Linked DNA regions of Elephas maximus indicus. The protein of the gene in region 1 purifies or fractionates together with the protein of each later gene. This does not show direct contact. Links are inferred from orthologs where the notes say so. Each region holds a gene or a part of one and is shown in the gene's direction. Other genes may lie near its edges.

The links. Proteins that work in one complex are often made in the same cells at the same time.
Region 2: the proteins of DHX15 (region 1) and GCFC2 purify together in Homo sapiens (co-immunoprecipitation; 3 studies listed by BioGRID and IntAct, with this or other methods). This does not show direct contact. The link is inferred for Elephas maximus indicus from reciprocal best matches to the Homo sapiens genes DHX15 and GCFC2.

The regions. Positions count from the first base shown.
Region 1 is NC_064823.1:138,875,196-138,886,170, forward strand, and holds the start of DHX15 (ATP-dependent RNA helicase DHX15), read left to right. Parts: upstream 1-6,882; 5' UTR 6,883-7,050; coding exon 7,051-7,121; intron 7,122-10,975.
Region 2 is NC_064835.1:60,012,189-60,022,483, forward strand, and holds the start of GCFC2 (intron Large complex component GCFC2), read left to right. Parts: upstream 1-6,267; 5' UTR 6,268-6,364; coding exon 6,365-6,623; intron 6,624-10,295.

The DNA.
Region 1 (10,975 bases):
AATTCTTTAGATTAGTTTCCATGGAACACAGACTCTGAGGCAAAGATTAGAATCCAATAAGTTTATTAGGGAGTAAACTTAGGATCAGGGACATTGGTGGTTCAGTGGTAGAATTCTTACCTTCCATGTGGTACGCCCAGTTTTGATTTCCGTCCGATGCACCTTATGCATAGCCACCACCCTTCTGTAAGTGGAGGCTTGTCTGTTGCTACGATGTTGTACAGGTTTCAGTGGAATTTCCAGACTAACATGGACTAGGAAGGAAGGCCTAAAGATGTACTTCCGCAAATCAGCCAAAGAAAACCCCATGGATCACAATGGTCCAATCTACAACCCGTCATGGAAATAGTGCAGGATTGGGCGGTGTTTCCTTCTGTGGCTCATGGGTTATCAAGAGTTGAAGGCCAACTTGATGACAGCTAACAACAACTCTTAGAATCAATATCTGTGGAAGGAAAGGGAAGAAAGTAGGATGAGACAGAAAGAGAAGTAGGGCTCTGGTGCGGTCACAAAAAAAACCTCATCTGATCACATGGGAAGCTCTGAAGCTCAGATGGTCTTCAGAGTTGGCCCAAGTTAGGCAGAGGAGGCCAGGCCTATGTACCTCCACGATGTTCATTCCATGTATTCAGACTGTCTCAGGCAGGTTGCACCCTCAGGTAAGGCAGTTTCTTTAACCAGGGAAGTTCCAGGAAAAACCTGACAGCTGAAGGCTGTCTGCCGGCAGCAGTCCCAGCAGATGCAGGGCTGTCTTTCATCCTTGATGGGTCATAGTGACCACTACACTTTGTAACTATTTATATCTATTAAATAGTAGAGTGAAAACAGGGTGATTAACAGCAGTACTGAAAATTCTTTCTCAACTGTGAGCATGTTGTAGCTAAGGAGATTTCAAAAAGGGAGATTGGCGAGTTGATCCTGGCAAATTCTCATAAGAAATCATATCATTTTGTCATGTAAGTCTTTTTGACAGTTTCCTCTTGCTCTAAAGTCTTATACTCTTAGCAGGAACTCTTATGCTCTGCGTGTCATGCCCCTTCTTGCAACTGCAGGATTGCGCCCTCCTTATATCATTGCACTCACTTTATTCTTCTTCCTGCCTATGGACTGCACCTGGTTTTTTTACTTTTCAGGGCCTTTGCACAGGCTTTTTCCTCTGCTTGGCATTCTTTCCTCCCTCTTTGCCTGGTCAGTTGCTCTACAGTTTAAGGTCTTTATATAATTGTCCCTTTCTTAGAGAGGCCTTCTCTAACTCTCTTAATTTAGGTCAATGCCACTTGTTACATATACTCTCATGGCATCTGTCCCTGTAGTTTAGTTGACCTTCTTAACATTTATCACGGCTGTGATGACAGTCATCTGTGAGTGTAGCTGTTATCTCTTCCTCTCTGATAAGTTCCATGAAGTCAGGGACTATGGCTATTTTTCTTTGCTTTTTTTCCCAGCACTTAACTCAATTCCTGACAGAAGAGTTTAATAAATATTTGTTGAGTGAATAAATAAATGAATAAATTAATGGGTGGGTAGTAGTGAAACAGTGTAGTTAACACATAGCTCTGGAATCAGAGGGTTCCAACCTTCCAAATCATGGCTTCACTGATAGCTTTATAAACTTGTCCTCTAACGGAAAAATGTGGAAGCTGAAGTTTATTAGTCCACTGTCAGATTGGGGGAATTTATCCTTAGTAAACCTTAGAAGAATAACATGGAATGAGAATACCCATGTATCAGCAGCAAAGCTTAGTGGTTACGCACACAGACTGTCTTGGATTGTCTTAGTCATCTAGTGCTGCTATAACAGAAATGCCACAAGTGGATGGCTTTAACAAACAGAAATTTATTCTCTCACAGTTTAGGAGGCTAAAAGTCTGAATTCAGGGTTCCAGCTCTAGGAAGTTTTCTCTCCTTTAGCTCTGGGGGAAGGTCCTTGTCTCCTTTCAACATCTGTGGGCCCAGTATTCCTTGGATAGCTACATGTGTCTTGGCTTCAATCTTCCCCTGAGCCTAGGAGGCTCTCAGTGCAGGGACCCCAGGTCCAAAGGATGCACTCAGCTCCCAGCTCTTCTTTCTTGGTGGTAATACAGGTCTTTCTTTTTCTGCTTGCTTTGCTCTCCTTTTATCTCTTCTAAGATAAAAGGGGAAACCCTGGTGGAGTAGTGGTTAAGAACTACAGCTGCTAACCAAAAGGTCGGCAGTTCGAATCCACCAGGTGCTCCTTGGAAACTCTATGGGGCAGTTCTAGTCTGTCCTATAGGGTTGCTATGAGTCTGAATCGACTCGATGGCAATGGGTTTTCTGATTTTTTTAAGATAAAAGGTGATACAGGCCACACTCCAGGAAAACTCCCATTACATTGGATCAGGGCTGTGATCTGAGTGAGGGTGTTGCATCCCACCCTAATTCTCTTTAACATAACCTAATCTTGCCTAATTAACCACAGGCAGAGATTAGGATTTACAATGCATAGGAAAATTACATCAGATCACAAAACGGAGGAGAACCACACAATACTGGGAATCATGGCTTAGCCATGCTGACACATATTTTGGGGGGACACAATTCAATCCATGATATTTTACTTTTTGGCCCCCAAAATTCATGTCCTTGCCACATGTAAAATACATTCAGCTCCCATCATATCATAGCAAAAGTCTTAAATCAACTCCAAATCCAAAATCTCATCTTCTACAAAATTCCTCTTCATCTGTGAAACCTAGAATACAAGGTATCTGCTTCCAGAGTACTACGGTGGAACAGCCAAAAGCTAGACATTTCCATTACAAATGGAAGAAACTTGTCTTAGTCATCTAGTGCTGCCATAACGGAAATATCACAAGTGGATGGCTTTAACAAAGAGAAATTTATTTTCTCATAGTCTAGTAGGTTACAAGTCCAAATTCAGGGTATTGGCTCCAGGGGAAGGCTTTCTCTCTCTTTTGGCTATGGACGAAGGTCCTTGTCCTCAATCTTCCCATAGTCAAGGAGCTTCTCAGGCGCACGGACCCCTGGCCCAAAGGATGCACTCTGCTCCTGGTGCTGCTTTCTTGGTGGTATGAGGTCCTCAACTCTCTGCTTGCTTCCGTTTCCTTTGATCTCTTGGGAGATAAAAGGTGGTACAGGTCACATCCCAGGGAAACTTCCTTTACCTTGGATCAGGGAGGTAACCCGAGTTAAGGGTGGTGTTACAATCCCACTCTAATTCTCTCAACATAAAATTACAATCACAAAATGGAGGACAACCACACAATACACAATACTGGGAATCATGGCCTAACCAAGTTGACACATATTTTGGGGGGGATACAAAACTGAAGGGAAAGAAGGGATAACAAAACCTAGCAAGTCAAAAATCCAGCAGAACAATTTACACTAGCTCTCAAGGCTTGAAAATAATTCTCTTTTCTCTGAGACCATCTAGGCAATGGCCCTGCCCTCCAGACTCTGAGTGTTGGCCACACTCTCCGGATTCTGAGCGGAGGCCCCTCGGCCCTGGGCTTCAGCTCAGTCTTCCAGGCCCACTGGAACAGCAACTATGCCCCCTTGCATTTGTTGTTGCTGCTGTTGTTAAGTGCCGTCGAGTCAGCTCCAACTCATAGCGACCCTATGTACAGCAGCACAAAACTGTCTGGTCCTGCGCCATTGCATTTGGGCAGCCTTGTTTTTCTAGCCCAACTGAGCGGCGACCCTACCTACTCTGCCCCAGCAGACCCTGTCCCTCTGAACCTCAGGCATGGCAGCCCTGCCCCCTCAGCTTTGGACAGTGGATCTGGCCCCATCCCACTGGCGCTCGTGAGAGGCAGCCCAACACTCCGGAATCAAGTTGATGAAGATCTGATTTTTTGAAACCTAGGAGGCTATGGCCCTATCATTTGAAACCCTGAAGGTTATGGCTCCACCCTTTGAGACAACTCTCCTCATATCCTTCTGAATCCTCGCCAGAATTGCCTTTGATGTCCATAATTCCACGAAAAGTCTCTTCAAGGCAATCTAGGCATTTACTACTAGACACTTTAAAACTCTTCCAGCATCTACCCATTACTCAGTTCAAAACCGCTTCCACATTTTAGGTATCTGTTAGAGCAGTATCCCAGTTTTCTGTTACCACATTCGTAGTTATCATCGAGTGCTGCTATAACAGAAATACCACAAGAGGATGCCTTTAACAAAGAGAAATTTATTAACTCACAGTCTAGAAGTCTGAATTCAGGGTGCCAGCTCCAGGGCAAGTCTTTCTCTGTCTGTTTTGGGGGAAAGTAATTGTCATCAATCTTCACCTGGCCTAGGAGCTTCTTAGCACAGGAACCTGGGTCCAAAGCATGCACTCCACTCCCAGAGCTTCTTTCTTGGTGGCATGAGGTCCTCATCTCTCTGTTCACTTCTCTCCCGTTTTATCTCTTGCAATATAAAAACTGACGCAAGCCACATCCCAGGGAAATTCCCCTTACATTGGATCAGGGCTGTGACCTGAGTGTGGGTGTTACATCCCACCCTAATCCTCTTTAACATAACCTAATCTTGCCTCATTAACCACCGGCAGAGAGTAGGATCTACAACACATAGGAAAATTGCATCAGATCCTAAAATGGAGGACAACCACACAATACTGGGAATCACGGCCTAGCCAAGCTGACACTCATTTTCAGGGGACACAATTCAATCCATGACAATGTTGTCGTTATTGTTAGTTGCTGTCAAGTTGATTCTCATGCATGGCAACCTTGTGTGTGCAGCATAGAACCGCTCCACAGGGTTTTTAAGGCTGTGACTTTTTGCTAGGCCTGTCTTTCGAGGCACCTCCGGGTGGGTTTGAACTGCAAACCTTTAGGCTAGTAGTCAAGTATTTAACCATTTTTGCCATCCAGGGACTCCTAAATGCTTTATACACATTAACTATTATCATTACCATTCATTACTTTAGGTTGGGAGATAACCCTGGCTTGCAATCTGGAGCTGGATAGCTGCATAAAACATTCCCTCCAGGTGAGTAAATCCATGCCATAGGTCAGATACTAGATCAGAGGGTTGTCTAGTAGACAAAGAGTAAGAGTAAAGGTAATAAATATTCTCTGGCAACAAGCTGTGGGTCCTGGTGGGTGGCCCTTCTTTACTCTAGAGTCAGTTTTGTCTGAAAATCTAGGGTAGAGCATCTAGACTCAGAGCTCTGCTCCTCTTCCCAGAAAGTACAAACATCCTGGCAGATTCTGGCCCTTAGTTGTCTTTATTCCGGGTTCCAGAAAGGCCACTATCTTTGGTAAATATGACCTTTCTTCAGTAATTCATGTTACAACACAATTGATTAGGTTACAGGTTTCTTTAGATACATCCTAGGCCCAAGGAAAAAGGTCTCATCACCTTGGTTTCAGTTCTTCATTTACGAAGGCTCTTTGCACACTTCTGAGTGGCTGACTCCTCTTAGGCCGGAGCACTTCTGAAGGCAGAATTCCAACCTTTTCCGTTTTTTTTTTAGAGCATGTTATTGTAGCTCTCCAACTGGGAACTTGGAGACCTGAGGATGAAATAGTTAAAGTGAACTCTGAATTTTAATTCTGTCTTTGATACTAACTGGCTGTGTGAATTTGGTCATGACCTAGTGGCTCAGGTGGTTAAGATATTGGCTGTGAACCGATAAGGTCAATGTTCCAAATTCACCAGCCGCTCCTTGGGAACCCTATGGGAATCAACCCGACGGCAATGGGGTTTTAAAATTAAGTGGAAAGAGAAAATCAGCTGGAAATTCTTTCCCAGGTTTACAATTCAGTGATCATACATTGTGATCTCTGACAAAAGCCAATCCACTGTTAATGTACATTTAGGGTAGAAACTTGCACTGAGTATTTTATAAGTGAAAAGAAGATATCCAGTTCTCTTGGTGCTGACTTTGGAATGTGTGTTTGGTAGAAAAAAATAAAAACCCTATTTTTCAGTGTTCAATATTTAAGTTGTATTTAATCTTCTCACTTGCAGTGCTAAGGATTTGATAGAACCAGAGCTTGGCCTTCCAAGACAGCTAGAGTCAATTGCATGAACTACAGGAGTCACCCAGCTGGGTTTGGTCCATGGCTCTTTTTCTTGTGCATTTCTTTCTTGAATGGACACAACCCAGGAAGAAGGGGAGAGGTCCACAAAAGGCACCAGAGGCATCTTGCTCCACTAGTTTGCTGTTGCTTTGGGTACAGCACTATTGACTCTGCGATTTGGGGCACATTTCATAACCGCTCTCAGCTTTAGCTTCCACGCCTATAAAATAACATCTACCGTGCAGGGTTACCGTAAGAGTGAGGTAAAGAGGTAGGATTAACGCTGTCACAAGTGCAAAACAGGCATTAAAAAAAAAAAAAAAAAGCTAATTATCCCCTTACTGCCAATTTTCTCTACTCCAACAAAACTTTTATAGCCCAAATGCATGTTGTCCGTGTTGGGTAGAGAAAGCGCAAAATGGATCATGGCAAGTCATGACATCTTCTCATCTCAGTTTTCTCTCTGCAATTGAGTGTTTAGCACAGTAGCTACAAGTTCTAGATTTGGAGTTTTAGATCAGGTTCCAGTCCTGGCTTGGCTGGTCTCAGATTGCCCTAAAGCCAAGACAATACAGATAGGTAGGATTTCCTAACTAGGACTAGACTTCCTCCCTTTCAATTTCCTAAATCAGAGCGGGACGGTGAGACAGAAGCGGAGCCTCAAGCGCCTCCGTCTCACGGCTCTTTACACCCTCTCAGACTCGGAAAGCGCCGGGAATAGGGAGGCGTCAGGCGGGGCGCGGGGTGGGCGGGCCAGAGCGTTGGTGGGCGGGGCCAGAGTTGCCGCCTCCGAGAGTCGTGCGCGTGCACTACGCACGCAAGGACGCACAGTACGTACGCTGCGGAAGCGCGCGCGCAGGCCCAGCCCTCGTCGCCGCCGCCATTTTAGCTCCTGGTTCCGGCCGCACGGTGTAGGCTGTTGTAGCGGGAGGGGTGGGGGTTCTCCAAAGTAGCTGCCCTCGACTGCGGCGCTACAGCCACTGGCTTCTCTTTTTTCTCCTTCTTGGTAACCACCCGCTCGAAGAGTACGAAGATGTCCAAGCGGCACCGGTTGGACCTGGGGGAGGATTACCCCTCCGGCAAGAAGCGTGCGGGGACCGATGGGTAAGCCAGGCCGGGGGCGCGAGGCAGCGGCTCGGGCTTTGTTGGAGCCGCGGCGGGCCGGCGGGGAGCAGGCCAGGGCCGGCCTGACCGAGAGGGCTCCGGAGCTCGAGTCTTTGTTTCCCTCTGGGCGGAGGAAAGCGGCGCCACTCTCCGCGGTCGGCCCAGCAAGGACGCGGGGAATGTGTGTGTGTGGCTGGGCCGCCGCCCGCCACCGTCGGGTAGGTGGAGGGGCCTGTTGTGGCCACGAGGACGTATCTGACGGGCCGATTAGAGCTCGACTCGAGGGGGGCTGGCGGGAGGGACCCGCGGACCTCGTGGTTCGGGTTCCCGAGTAAGGCCTGGAGCCGGGGCGGGGGGGTAAGGGGGGAGGGCGCGGCGAGAGTATTCGCTTCCAAGGGCACCAGGCACTTCTCAGGCCGAGGGACCGGGGAGTGGACCTTGGGGAGTGGCTGGATCTCAGGAAGGGAGAGTCAGAGAGTGTAAAGAAGCGCCTGGGTTCTTGTGTAGGCTGGGATGGGGGTGGCGGGAGTTGAGTGTGAGACGTGCAAACGAGGAGTTCTCGGGGGAAGGGAGAGTAGAGGGCCTGTCGAAAGGGGAACGTGGAGTACACCTGGCGGGCTGGAAGGCTGGTGGGATGGAGAAGGCTACGTTTATAGTTTGGCGGGAGGGAGCGTGCCTCGGTCCATTCAAACACTTCAAAGACACTAGACAAACTTCCGCTCTCTGCCTACGCTCCCGCCATCTCCTTTATTTCCTGCTTTAGTTAAAGCATTGGCATCGGAAATCAGTGGGGTAGGGATAGAAGGCGTTCTTTCCCCCCCCCCATAAGTTATTTTCTATTGTTTTTTCTGCTGTTCTTTATAAGTAGCTTTTGAAAAAACGCTTTTCAAAAAATGGTTTTAATTACGGCAAAATATTGCCCCGTGGGGAGGTTGTTTGGGACTTGAAATACAGACTTACTGTTTCAGATAACTTTCCTTTCCCTTAGTCCTTTTTTAAAGGTGCATTAGTAATTGCATTAAAGTCATTTCTTGTTCAATTTTTTTTTTTATCCCGAAAGTACAGAGATCTCTTTGGATAATTCAGGCAAAAACACAATGTCCTGAATGTTCACATTCCTTGGATGATTTTATCTTATCGTGTGTGTATGTGTGTGTGTACAGAATAACTGTGTTAAACCATCTGTGTAGCTTTGGGGAATTGTTGACCAGAAGCCCATGATCTGGATTGATTTGTAGGTCTCTGCTGTGTCCAGTAAATGCCAGGATAGGGTGTACTTTTTAATGCAGTTCCGTATATTGAATATATAAAGCAGAAGTATGTCACATTTTAATGTTGAAAAGTATTTAGTTTACAGTATTAGACAGTTTTCTCCCTAGGCTGCCCCTCCCCCTCCAAAAAAAAAAAAAACACCCAGCAAAACTTGATGGCGTTGAAGCAACATGTCACAGACCCTCAGAGCTGAAGTGACTTCAGAGCCTCACTCAAGGAGTGGGAAAAGGAGACCCAGAGTTGTTAAGGTGGTTTCTGCAGGTTTACGCAGTTGAATGCCGGATGTAGAACCCTGAGCTTCTGATTTTTCACTCTGAGCTTTTTCCGTTACAACATACAGCCTATGGCTGTAGTTTAAAGTCACTGCAGCCGATTTTAATGACTTGTAAAGTTGGGAACACTTGGTTCTTGATGCCTGTGAAGCAAAAATAAATTGCTTGTTATCTGGCTGAGATGGAACAAACATGTTTCACAAGACTTTAGTTTGGCACAAAATATTTATATCCCTGTGTATGTACACCACTAAAAATGCTTTCTTTGGGGCTAGAGGTCTCATCTGTATATGTGGTTGCTCCCTTTCCCCTGCAAAATGAATGTCTGTCCCTTTTTGTTTCTAGGTGGTGCCCTTATGATTCCCTTCAATAGTGCTTGACTTCTGTCTGTAGGTGAAAAAGAGTTCATATTTGGAATAATGCCCAAGTCCTGAAATTCTGGAGGGCTGTTTTTATACGTTCATATCTTGAATAATTCATTTTTCATAGAACTAGTATTCTTTAGCAATGAGCTTACAGCGTTCATCAGTGCTGGAGTGTGTTTCATACTTGGCAACTGAAGTCACTTTTGGTGACTGCCTTTTCAAATGCAATCCTGCAGATTTAAAAAAAAACCGGGATGGGTTTTATCAGAACATAGGCTTGTCAGTCTGTGAGTGGCACTGCATATAACTGTCCCATTTTCCCATTCTTGCAGTGCTGCAAATGGAGAGTGATTCAGTGGGAGATTTCACTCATTCATGCTCCCAAACTATTTGTGACTTTGTTTTCTTCTGGCGTGTTTTAACTTCAGGGCCAGATAGAGAAGTTGGAGGTTTATGTTATATACCCTAGCCTTATTCCTTTTTCCCTCATCCCACAAAATCTTCTAAAATTTATCCCCCCAAAAACTATTGTTGGAGTGGAAAAACTCTTTGAAAGTAGGGGTATTTTTCTCTTTAATTTTAGTTACTTCCTGGTAAAAGCTTTTCCTGTTCATTGTGTAAAAGTGAAACGCACTAATATATATAGAGAGTACATATTGTGCACCCGGCATTGTTCTAGGTGCTATATGTATAAACATTTTCACTACAGACTTACGGTGTAGGTGAAGTAACTTGCCCTAGGGAATGTAAGAAGTCCATATACAGAGGTATAAAGAAAACAGCAAAAAATTCCTGAAAATATCCCCAGCTTTAATTCTTTGAGGAACATTTTTGATCTCTGCATGTTTACTCACAAATATGAACTCTAGCTGTTACGAGTGAGATCTCTCAATGGGTGTTGTTTTGTGGTTTGATTTTTTTTTTAGAAACATGTCATGAACTGCTGTAAATATACCTTATTCTTTTCATTGGCTGCATAGTATTCCAGTTGTAAAGGTGTGTTGTAACTTATTTAGCCGATTTCCTGCTCATAGATGTTTAGTTTCTCAGTCTTCATTATTGTAAATAAAAAATTGTGATAAACATTCTTATATGTATATATTTGTACACTTATCTTTAGAACTAGTTCTGAAACAGATTGTCAGATACAAAGCAATACTTATTTAAAATCTACTGATTTTTATGACCAGTTTACATCTTCTTCAGCAGTACTATAGTTATTTTTCTTTAACGTGGTATTCTTAACATGGCATTGTAAATTTGTAAGTTAAAAAAAATCTTTAGTGGCAACTAATATTTATTGGGAAACCCTGGTGGCTTAGTGGTTAAGTGCTAAGGCTGCTAACCCAAAGGTTGGCAGTTTGAATCCGCCAGGCGTTCCTTGGAAACTCTGTGGGGCAGTTCCGCTCTGTCCTGTAGGGTCGCTATGAGCCGGAATCTGCTTGACGGTAATGGGTAATATTTATTGGGCATTTGCTGTGTGCCAGGCACCACTTTAAGCCCATTGCATATATTAACTCATTTAATCCTTGCCATACCCCACAAGATAGCTATTGTTAATAAAACCACATTTTATACCTGAAGAAACTGAGGCAGTGAGAAATTAACTTCTGTGTTCAATACAGCCAGTTTAAAAAGTACACAGCTAGGATTGAGGGAAACAGTAGAGAACCAGGTGCTTAATGAATGTCATATTTTGTCTCTGTCTCTGACGGTATTGTGGTCAGTGACTGCAAACCACTGTCTTGAGATCTTCCTTTAAAAAAAAAAAATTATACCTCAATTAGTAAATATTTTAAGAACAAAGCTCCTTTATGGTAAAGTATTAAAAAAAGAAATCATACATACTTATAATAGTGGATACATATTTATAGCAGAGGGTTTGAACCCTCATTTACCTGAATTTTAATTTTTATCCTCCCCTATTGAAGGTAGACAGTTTTAA
Region 2 (10,295 bases), on another chromosome or scaffold:
ATCAAAATACCATAATAGGCAAGGCTAGTGGTAGAGCAAAAGAAAGAAAAAGGGCAATGAAGATTCAGAAAATTAATCTTGTTCTATAATCCTCGGCAGAAGCTACTTTTTAGGTAGTCAGCAACTTATTCTGTCATCTTGGACAGAAGCTATCCACTTCTGTAGTCAGAGCCTTCTGGAATATTTCTTAGAATTCTAAGTTTAAAGTCTCTGAATAGAACAGACATCCAGTAGTCAGAAGAAAGTGCTATATGTCTTTTAAGTTGGGATCAACATCTTAGATTTTTACTGGCATGTCAGTTGTTAACAGTACCAGATAAGGCCTACATCATCAAGGCTCAAGCACAGTTCTTCTCTATGCCTTTAGAAGACCCAATATAAAGTTTTCAGATCATGTAAAGTCTACTTATGTACATCTTCTAGAAATACAGGTTGTTGGTTATAGTTATGGGGTGAATTGTGTCCCCTCAAAAAGATATGTTGAAGTTCTAACCCTGTACTAGTGAATGTGACCTTGTGTGGACAGAGGAACTTTGAAGATGTTACCGGTTGGGTTACCATGAGGTCATGCTGCCATATCAAAATACCACAAAGTGGATGACTTTAAAGAACAGAAATTTATTTTCCTACAGTTCTGGAGGCTAGAAGTCTGAATTCGGGGCAGCGCTATGCTCTGTGTCTCTCTCGCTCACTCTCTGTTTACTCCAGGGGAAGATCCTTCCTTGTCTCTTTCAGTTTCTGGTAGCCCTGAGCGTTTCTTAGCATTCCTTGGATTGTAGATGGATCCTCAGGCAGTGTCTTCCCCCAGAGGGTGACTCTATTTCTGTATCTGTTCTGCCTTTTTATAAGACACCACTCAGAAGTGGATCCTCAGAAGGGATTAGGATTCGAATCCCCTCTACTTTGGTATGACCACATTTAACACAACTGATAACAAAAGAAAACCCCTATTTAAAAATTCCAGGTCACAGTCACAGGTACAGGGGTTAGAACTTCAACAGTCTTTATGGGGAATACAATTTAATCCATAACAATAGAGTGGGTCCTATTCCTATATGACACGCATCCTTATAAAAGGATGAAGATAAACAGAAACAGGTAGACAGGAAGGATGCCATGTGATGCTGCAGCTGCAAGCCCAGGAACACCTGTAGCCACCAAGAGCTAGGAGAGAGGCCTGGAACAGAGATTCCCCCTCAAAGCATCAGAAGGAACAACACGGCTAACACCCTAAACTCAGATCCCCAGTCTCCAGAGCTGTGACACAATAACTTTCTGTTGTTACAATTGCCCAGTTTGTAGTATTTTGTTACAGCAGCCCCGGGACACTAATAGAGTCATTGGTGACATCTTATGAGTATCTTGTAATGTTCAATCCTATCAGCTTGTAATAGGATAAAATCTAGGACTGCAACTAACACCCCAGTGCATGAGGCAGCCTGTTTTTGACTAAGCAGGACGTAACTTAGAGAGGATTGACATTAGCGCCTTCCAGGCAAGTGGCGATAATTACAAATCTCAGATTTCTGAGGCCCACATTATGGTAATTTGAGGTTTCTGAATGTTTTTTAGAACTCCCAGAGTTTTCTTTATTTCTCCCAAAGTTATGAATAATGACAGTTGAGATTCTGAGTCAAAGGCAAAGCTAGAAAAACGTTGTTGTTAGGTGCCACCAAGTCACCTCCAACTTATAGTGACCTTATGTGTAACAGAACAAAATGTTGCCCAGTCCTGTGCCATCTGAGGAAGGGTATGCATCAGGGTTGTATCTTTCACCATATTTATTCAATCTGTATGCTGACCAAATAATCTGAGAAATTGGGCTATATGAAGAAGAACACAGCACCAGGATTGCAGGAAGACTCATTAACAACCTGCAATATGCAAATGACACAACTTTGCTTGTTGAAGGTGAGGAAGACTTGAAGCACTTACTGGCAAATATTAAAGACAACAGCCTTCACTATGGATTATACCTCAACATAAAGAAAACAAAAATCCTCACAACTGGACCAATAAGCAACATCATGATAAACGGAGAAAAGATTGAATTTTTCAAAAAGAGATACTGAAAACTGAAAGCACAATTGTTGTTGTGTGCTGTGGGTCCATAATTTTATGAATGTGCTTCCACAATGATTTTTTTTTTTTTTGGCCTTAAAAGAGAGAGTTATTTTACTTACAAACATAATTTCCCAAAATGTTTTCCTCTGGGAAAGTTTTAAATAGGTTGGCATAAAAACGAAAATGTATTTGTTGTTTTTAACAAGAGAATTTTTTTAAAGATAGCTCTATCAAAGGAAGGGGGCAGTTTCTGAAGGATTGACACAGTCCGTATGTAAGTAGCCCATTTCTCACTAGGGGGAGCTCAGAACCCACCAATAAGTGGCAAACCCAACCAAACCCACTGCCCTCGAGTCCGTTCCAACTCGTAGCGACCCTACAGGACAGAGTAGACCTGCCCCGTAGAGTTTCCAAGGAGCGCGTGGTGGATTCAAACTGCTGACCTCTTGGGTAGCAGCCGTAGCACTTAACCACTATGGCAATAAGTGGCAAGACAAGCTAAATAAAATGCCATTTCACCTATTTAGGGTAAAAACAGTATATTTGGGTATAGACGGCCAGATTTTCAGAAGTTGGAAATTTTTTATATGTCAAATTTCAATTATCACCCTCTGTAATTCCAAATTATATGCAAAGGAATAAGAAAATATTGTAAGCAAATAATAGATATGGCATTATCCTCAAGTTCTTGGGGGAAAATTCCTAGTGTTCATAACAAAGAACAAACAATATAAGGCAGTTATAATTGTGGGTACCTGGAAAGACTGTTAGGAGAAACACAATTCTTGCTCTCTGGCCCCTTTTCCTGTCTCCATGTATAACCAGTGGAGTCTCTTCCCCTTTCAAGATTCACCATCTTGGGTACATTTGGGGAAGGGGCGATCTCATAGCCACCTCTAGGCTAGTGTGTTCAGCAGCCTGTCATCCATTGTGTTTCCTCTGACGCTCTCAGCTCTGAAACTGTGGTGCTGCCATCCCATCCCCACCGTGAAGCTATCATCACTGTCCTCACTTCAGCTGCTCAGTCCTTCTTTCCCAGCAGCAGTGTTAACCCAAGAGTGTGCGGAGTAGAGCAAAGTCTTACTAAAGGATTAGGGGAAATAGCACCATACCTTAAAAGTCTCTTGTCCCCCTAACCCTTGTTACTGGGAACGTCTCACTGGCCATGGTTTTCTTCAGGTTCCAGAACTATCACCACCCCCTCCATCACCCCCCCCACCCATTGTGAAGCCTTTCACTACCTTTGAAATTCTTCACAGCTCTCTTCACCACAGACTAGAGTTACAATATGTCCCACGCAAATAAGTCCCAAATATTATATGGGTCGTATTTCTACTAAAAAGTTATTTCTCATTCATTTGAAATTTAAATTTAGCTGGGCGTCTTACAGTTTTTTCTAAATCTGTTAATGCTACCCTGGAGTCTTCACTCTGCTTTCCTTGGGACTGAAGGGGGAATTCCAAAATCTACCCCACTCCCCTTATTAAGCAAGTTATCTCTATTTCATCCTCTCCCATTCAAGCCATACCCAGGAAAACTCAATTTTCTCACTAATCTATCTCCCTTGGAACAAAGATTTAGTTTATGTTTTAAATAGCAGTTTTTATTTCTATCTCAGTAGCATATTACCTGGAGCCTTGGTGGTGCAGTGTTTAAAAGCTCAGCTGCTAACTGAAAGGACAGCAGTTCCAATCCACCAGCTGCTCGATGGAAACTCCACGGCGCAGTTCTACCATGTTGTCTTGGGTCACTATGAGTTGGAATTCACTTGACAGCAATGGCTTTGGGTTTTGTTTTGTTTTAAGTATATTACCTGTCTATTAACATATTTGCACCCAGTAAGTTGCAGTGCTTCGTTTTCAGGTTTCATTATTGCTGTTGAACATAGATGTTTCAGAATTGCCCCATCCACAAATTTAGTTCATTGGGTTCATGTTAATTCAGTACATACCACACACTGGACACTGTACTAGTACAAGGATACCAAGAGAGGCCTTGTCTTGATAGACGGTGTAGCTTAAAATGAGGAAGGAGCAGCTATCCCACGGTCTACTAGTTGCTTTAAACCCAGCTAAAAAGGTTGAACTCCGCCTGCCATTTTCACGTTCAAGGTAGACATTGTCTGTGAGTTGGAGATTTTCAAGGGGAGAGAACAGCTTTCTGGAACAGCAGCTGTACACTCAGCTTATCCTTAAATAAACTGCTCCCTTTGCAAGCAACGCTGAGAGTGAATTCTGTCCTGCTGCCCACCTTTCAAACTGAGACAAACACCTGCCACGATTTTGAAGACTGGTGGGGAACGCTGTTAAGAAGGTGTAGGCAGATTTTCCTTTACGGGGAATAACTTCTACAGTTAGATAAACTTAATCCCTTTTAATAGGTTCTTATTAGCCTGCCTTTTGAAGATAATTCAGTTTTCAGATTAGGAGATACACAATGGCATTTGGATGCTGTAACAATCTGATATGCAGTTGTTCATCATGAAGAAGTTACCAGGAACATTAAAAAAAAAATTCTTAAGGGTGATTGTCCTAGTCATCTACTGCTGCGATAACAGAAATACCACAGGTGGATGGGTTTAACAAAGAGAAATTCATTCTCTCACAGTCTAGTAGATTACAAGTCCAAATTCAGGGCACCGGCTCCGAGGGAAGGCTTTCTCTCTCTGCCAGCTCTGGAGAAAGGTCCTTGTCATCAGTCTTCCCTTGGTCTGGGATTATCTCGGCACAGGAACCTCAGGTCCAAGGAATGCGCTCTGCTCCCGGCACTGCTTTCTTGGTGGTATGAGGTCCCCAGGTATCTCTGCTTGCTTCTCTCCTTTATATCTCGAAAGAGATTGGCTTAAGACACTACCTAATCTTGTAGACCTCATCAATATAACTGCTGCTAATCCATCTTATTACATCATAGCGATAGGATTTACAACATATAGAAAAATCACATAAAATGGTGGGCAACCACATAAAATGGTAGACAATCACACAATACTGAGAATCATGGCCCAGATAAGTTGACAGATATTTTTAGGGGACACAATTCAATCCATGACATGGATGAATTTATCTTGTATCTACTCTAGGGCCTTGCTACTTAGAGTGTGGTCCTCGGACCAGCATCCTTAGCTTCACCTGGGAGCTTGCTAGAAATGAAGACTCTTAGGACCCACCACAGACCTGCTCAGTCAGTATCTGCCATTTCCGCATAGTCTGCAGGTGATTTGAAGAACATCAGACTTGAGTAGCCCTCTACGGTTTAGCATGGTGCCTGGGCTACTGGGTGGAAAAAAAACTGTATAATGTAGGGCTGTTTCTTGACGTAGTACCTAAAAGAGCACAGAATTTCCCTCTAATCACAATTATGATCATTTTCCTCACCATTTTAAAATTACAGTCTACTGTTTGGTTTTGTATCAGCAGCTTTATAGTGTGACTTAGACGACATTCATCACAGAACTGGAGAATTCTGAATGGATGGATGGTAGATTGAAAAGCACTGGGCCTAACGGAGCAGCCTAGCCTCTCCCTTACCCATCAGCTGGCTTCTGGAGTTCATTCTAGCCCTAAGGAGCACTTAGTCGGTGGTGGGAAGCTGCTCTTCCAGATATCACAGGTGTCTCTATTTTCTAGTCCTATAAGCCCCGGTAGTACAGTGGTTAAAGCATTCGGCCAAGCCACGGGAGAAAGATGTGGTGGTCCGATTCTGTAAAGATTACAGCCTTGGAAACCTATGGGGCAGTTCTACTTTTTTCCTACAGGGTCGCTGAGTCGGAGAGGACTCAGTGGCAAAGGTTTTTTTTGGTTATGGAATCCTTTTCACATCACATGCCACTATCGTAACAAAAAAAAAACCTTCTAGTGTCCTGAAATTTATTTATCTAGATTTAAAAAGAAAAAGCTCTCTTTGCAATAAGTCATTAATAAATTATGAATAACTGGTCATGCATAGTGCCTGACTCCCAGACAGTTTGCTCACAGAGAGCTTGTGGATGCTTCTCTGTGTGGGACTCAACTCGAGCAGGCTCTGGGAGTCGCTCCGCTATGGTCTAAGAAACCACAACTTGGAAAGAGTACTTTGCATGCCCACGCCTGGGCCCAGGGAACTGGGCTGTCAACTTCATCGAAGGAAGGGAAACACGCATGCGCACTCCTGTTGACCCGGAGGAAGCGGGAGCGGACGCCGCCGCGAGGAATGGGTGCGCGCACGCGGCGGAAGGGCGGGAGCGCGCGCCGATCTTCCAGGACTCGGGTGTGGGAGGCGGGCACACGCGCGGTGGCCGGTGCCCGAGGCCCGGGCTGCTGCCATGGCTCAAAAGCCGAAAAGGACTTTTCGGCAGCGCCGGGCTGATTCCAGCGACAGTGACGGCGGCAGGGAGTCGCCTACAGAGCCCGGGGCGCCGCGGGAGCAGGCGGCCCCGGGTCCTGCGGAGAAAAGGCCGCCTGCAGAGGCGGCGAGACGGCCGTTCAGGGGCCGGAGCCGGGTCTGGGCGAGTTCCCGGCGCGCCGCGAGAGCGGCCCCCTGTGCAGGCAGCGACCCGGGCGACCAAGGCGACTCCGAGAGCGGTGAGGGCGCCCGAGGGGACGTCCAGGCGGGGCGGGAGCAGGTCGGCGGGTGCCCGGAGCCTTCCGGGGCAGTTCTGTCGTCTGCCGCCGGCCACCGGGAGCCCCTAGTCGCAGAGGCAGTGAGCAGGACTCCCTCCCGCCTGAGAGCACTGGCCCGCTGCCTCCATCCCCGTTTTGGGCTCCTTTGGGGAGTAAAAGGAATTCTGTACGGATGGGTGGATGGCTCCTGTGTGTTTGCGTCCCGAGGTGACCTTAACTGATTGTAGCTATAGATCAACACTTGGTGTTTATGAGGAGTTAAATACTGCTGAATATGCTTAAGCAAGCAGGAAAGTTATATGTACCTTTTGGAAACTTGTCAATTCGGAGTTGAATCTTTATGTTTTAGAAAACACTTAGCCAGAATGAATTGTACGTTAGAAGAATCTAAGTGACAGGCTTTGGGACATTCTCTTTTGCCTGTTCTTCTTTTTCATCAGTTATTTGCAAAAACTGGGATGAAAAATAACTGTCGCTGAGTAGCATAACCGATAATAAAGTTAAATATGGTGTAGTGATTTGAGGTACCAGTGAGTTCTTAAATATGGATTTGAGCAGCGTAAAGTTTACGTAAAATGTGCTGTTAATGTGTTTGAATTGGAGTTTAATAAGGAACAAGTTTTTGGTTAATCTTTTCGGTAAAAAATTTTCTCCCTGCTATTACTAGTCCATTAAGGCAATCTTGGTGTTTTCTTAGTCATTGTTAGGACCTTGTATCTGGTGATGGAAGTTTTGATAACTTTTTGTATTTGTTTTTCTACTCTAAAAATGTGTAAGTCATCTAGTTAAACTTTAGCAGGAATAGAGAGCACAAGTTTTCTGTTTGTCTTGCCTTCTCAAGCAGCGGTTTTCTAGCTTTTTGGTTTTACCAAAACCAGTTGCCCTCCAGTCATTACAACTCATAGGTTGGAGTAGAACTGCCCTATAATGTTTCCAAGGGAGTAGTCTTAGTGGAAGCAGGCTGCCACATCATTCTTCCACAGAGCGATTGGTGGGTTTGAACTGACAACCTTTCAGTTAGCTGAGTGCTTCACCACTGTGCTGCCAGGACTCCTTTTTTTTTGTTTGTTTCTAGAACCCCCTTTATACTATTAAAAATGATTGGGGGCCCCTGTGAAGTTTTGGTTCTATGGATTTTATCCATTGATATTTACCATATTTGAAATTAAAACAGAAATGTTTAGTAAACCATTTTTTTAAAAAAAAACTATTGTAAACCCATAACATGGAAGGATAAATAACTTTTTTTTAATATTCTTTTTTTTTGGTGAAAGTATACACAGCAAAATAGGTTCCCATTCAACAGTTTCTACACGTCATGTTCAGTGCGTTGGTTAGTCTTCATTTTGTGTCAATATTCTCGTTATTTCTGTTTTAATTGTTCCACTCCCATTAATGTAGTCTCACTGCCCCCTAAACTTCTCATCTGTGCTTTAGAATAACTTGTCCATTTGGTATCATGTGGATAACTTTTTAAAAAAAAGATTGCAGTTCTCAAGGGTGAAATTCTCTACTTTTTGAGCTAACCTGCTATTTAGTTAAAAAGTGATTTCAAGTGATAGTTTCTGTTCAAGGATTAAAGAGTATCTCAGGGCAATAGTCTTGGGGATACCCTCAGTCTCAGCGGGTTCAGTAAGCCGGGGTTCTTTGAGAATTTGAAGTTCTCTTCCACATTTTTTTTCCTCCCCTTTTTATCAGGATCCATCTATTGTGACCCTGATCAAAATATTTGGTAGTGGTAGCTGGGCACTATCTAGTTCTTGTGGTCTAAAGATAGAGGAGGCCATGGTTCATGGATAATTAGTCCTGTAGCCCAATTCTTTCTCTATTTCTTGGGTTTCTTTCAGTCTCTTTTGCTACAGCAAAGAGAGACCAGTGGTTCTATCTTAGCCAGCTGCTTGCAAGTGTCTAAAGCTTGAGACGCCAAGTAACATTTTTGTGAAAAATAATTATTTTCCAAAAAAATAGAAGAACACCATTGTTTCTCATTTGACAATCTCTTTAATGTCTGGCCTCATGGAAGACAGCTGAATTGTCATAGCCGCTTCTGATTGAGTCTTTTGTGGTATGTGTTGGTTGAAGTATGTGAAGAAGATGAAGCCTTAGATATGTGGTTAGAGGGGTATTTAGTAGCCTTTTTCGATCATTGGCGGTATTCTGCTTTAATACTACAAGAAAACTCAACAAGTAACGTTTTTCAAAGCTTAGGTAAGATACGGAATCTGAAACCATATCAGTACATTTTTTTGTACTCTGTTAAATTAAAATCTGTTGTACCCGTTGTGTATGTAGAATGAATCTTTTACCCGTGCGTGATTGGTAATATTGTGCGTTGACTATTTGGAATGTATTGGCTTGGTGAGTTTGCAGATTTTGCAAATGCTGACACTTTTTATGATACAATACCAAAAAATAACTTGGCTAATGTTACCACTAATATCATCAGTCTCTGAGTATGGGGAAACTGTCAGGTTCACAGTGAAGGATACAGGTTTTTCTGAAATTCAAATTTGCACTTGAAATTTCTAATTCTTGAAGTGATAGGCACGCTTTGTTCATTTTTGAGAAATGATTGTCACAATACCCACTTCTGAATAGCCAGAGTTTGTCAATCCTTCTTTCAAGTAAACTACTTTTCCTCTTCAAAAACAGTAGCTAGTTCAGCATGCAACTCAGTCACACAAATGCTTTTCCTCGAAGCAACCATTGTATTTGAGTGCGCAGCAGAAGTACCTTATGCATACATCCCTTTGGTTGCACAGAATATTAAATAGATGTGTGCCGGAGACGGCCCAAGATGGCAACTTAGTCACACACACCAGTCCGCCCCCTACAGCGAAGAGCCAAGAAACTAAGTGAAACAGATACAGGTAACAGTCTGGGAGCCCAGAACAGCAATTGGAAGGATGAAGAATTAGATCAAACACCAAAGGGAGGGAGAAACTGGATGAAAACTGAGAACGAGGAGATTTATGGACTGTAGGCACCCTGCCAGCCGGCCAGGTGCAGCATGGTCATCTTGAGACAAAGTAAGCACTGTTCCTGGATAAGAAGCACAGGAAGGCAACTTCACAATAGGGAACGGAGATACTGTGTAGACAAACCCAGAGTGAAGCAAGGCGAGCAGAACAGGAACCATATCAAAGGAAGGAAAGTATTGGAAGTCAGGCAGGAGCCCTAGGATCCAAGCAACCATAGAGCAGAAAGAAAGCCAGACAATAGGAGTAAAACTGCTCACTTGCAGTGGAGGCAAGAGATCCCCTCCTGGCCAGATGCTGGGCAGCTCCCCCCTCCATGCATCTGGTCAGGGCTCAGTCCTCATCAAAGGCTGCACTCTGCAGGGAGTACAGCAGCATCCAGGCCAGGGACTGGGGGAACACGCTTCCCCCCTTTTACCGTCTTCTGTTCTCCTGGTAGCCAGCAGTATACCAGTCTCCACCGCCCCCCCTTGCCTGGCAGTCCATGGCACGCAGTCCCACACTGTCCGACCTGCAACCAGAGGCTCGTGCCAGCTTCAGCCATCCCCATGCCGCCACACCCCCGGCAATTGGCAGCATGAGCTCTCACCGACTCCCTCTCCCCTGCCCCCACTGCCACTCCTTCCCGTCAGTCAGCAGTGTGAGTTCCCTTGCC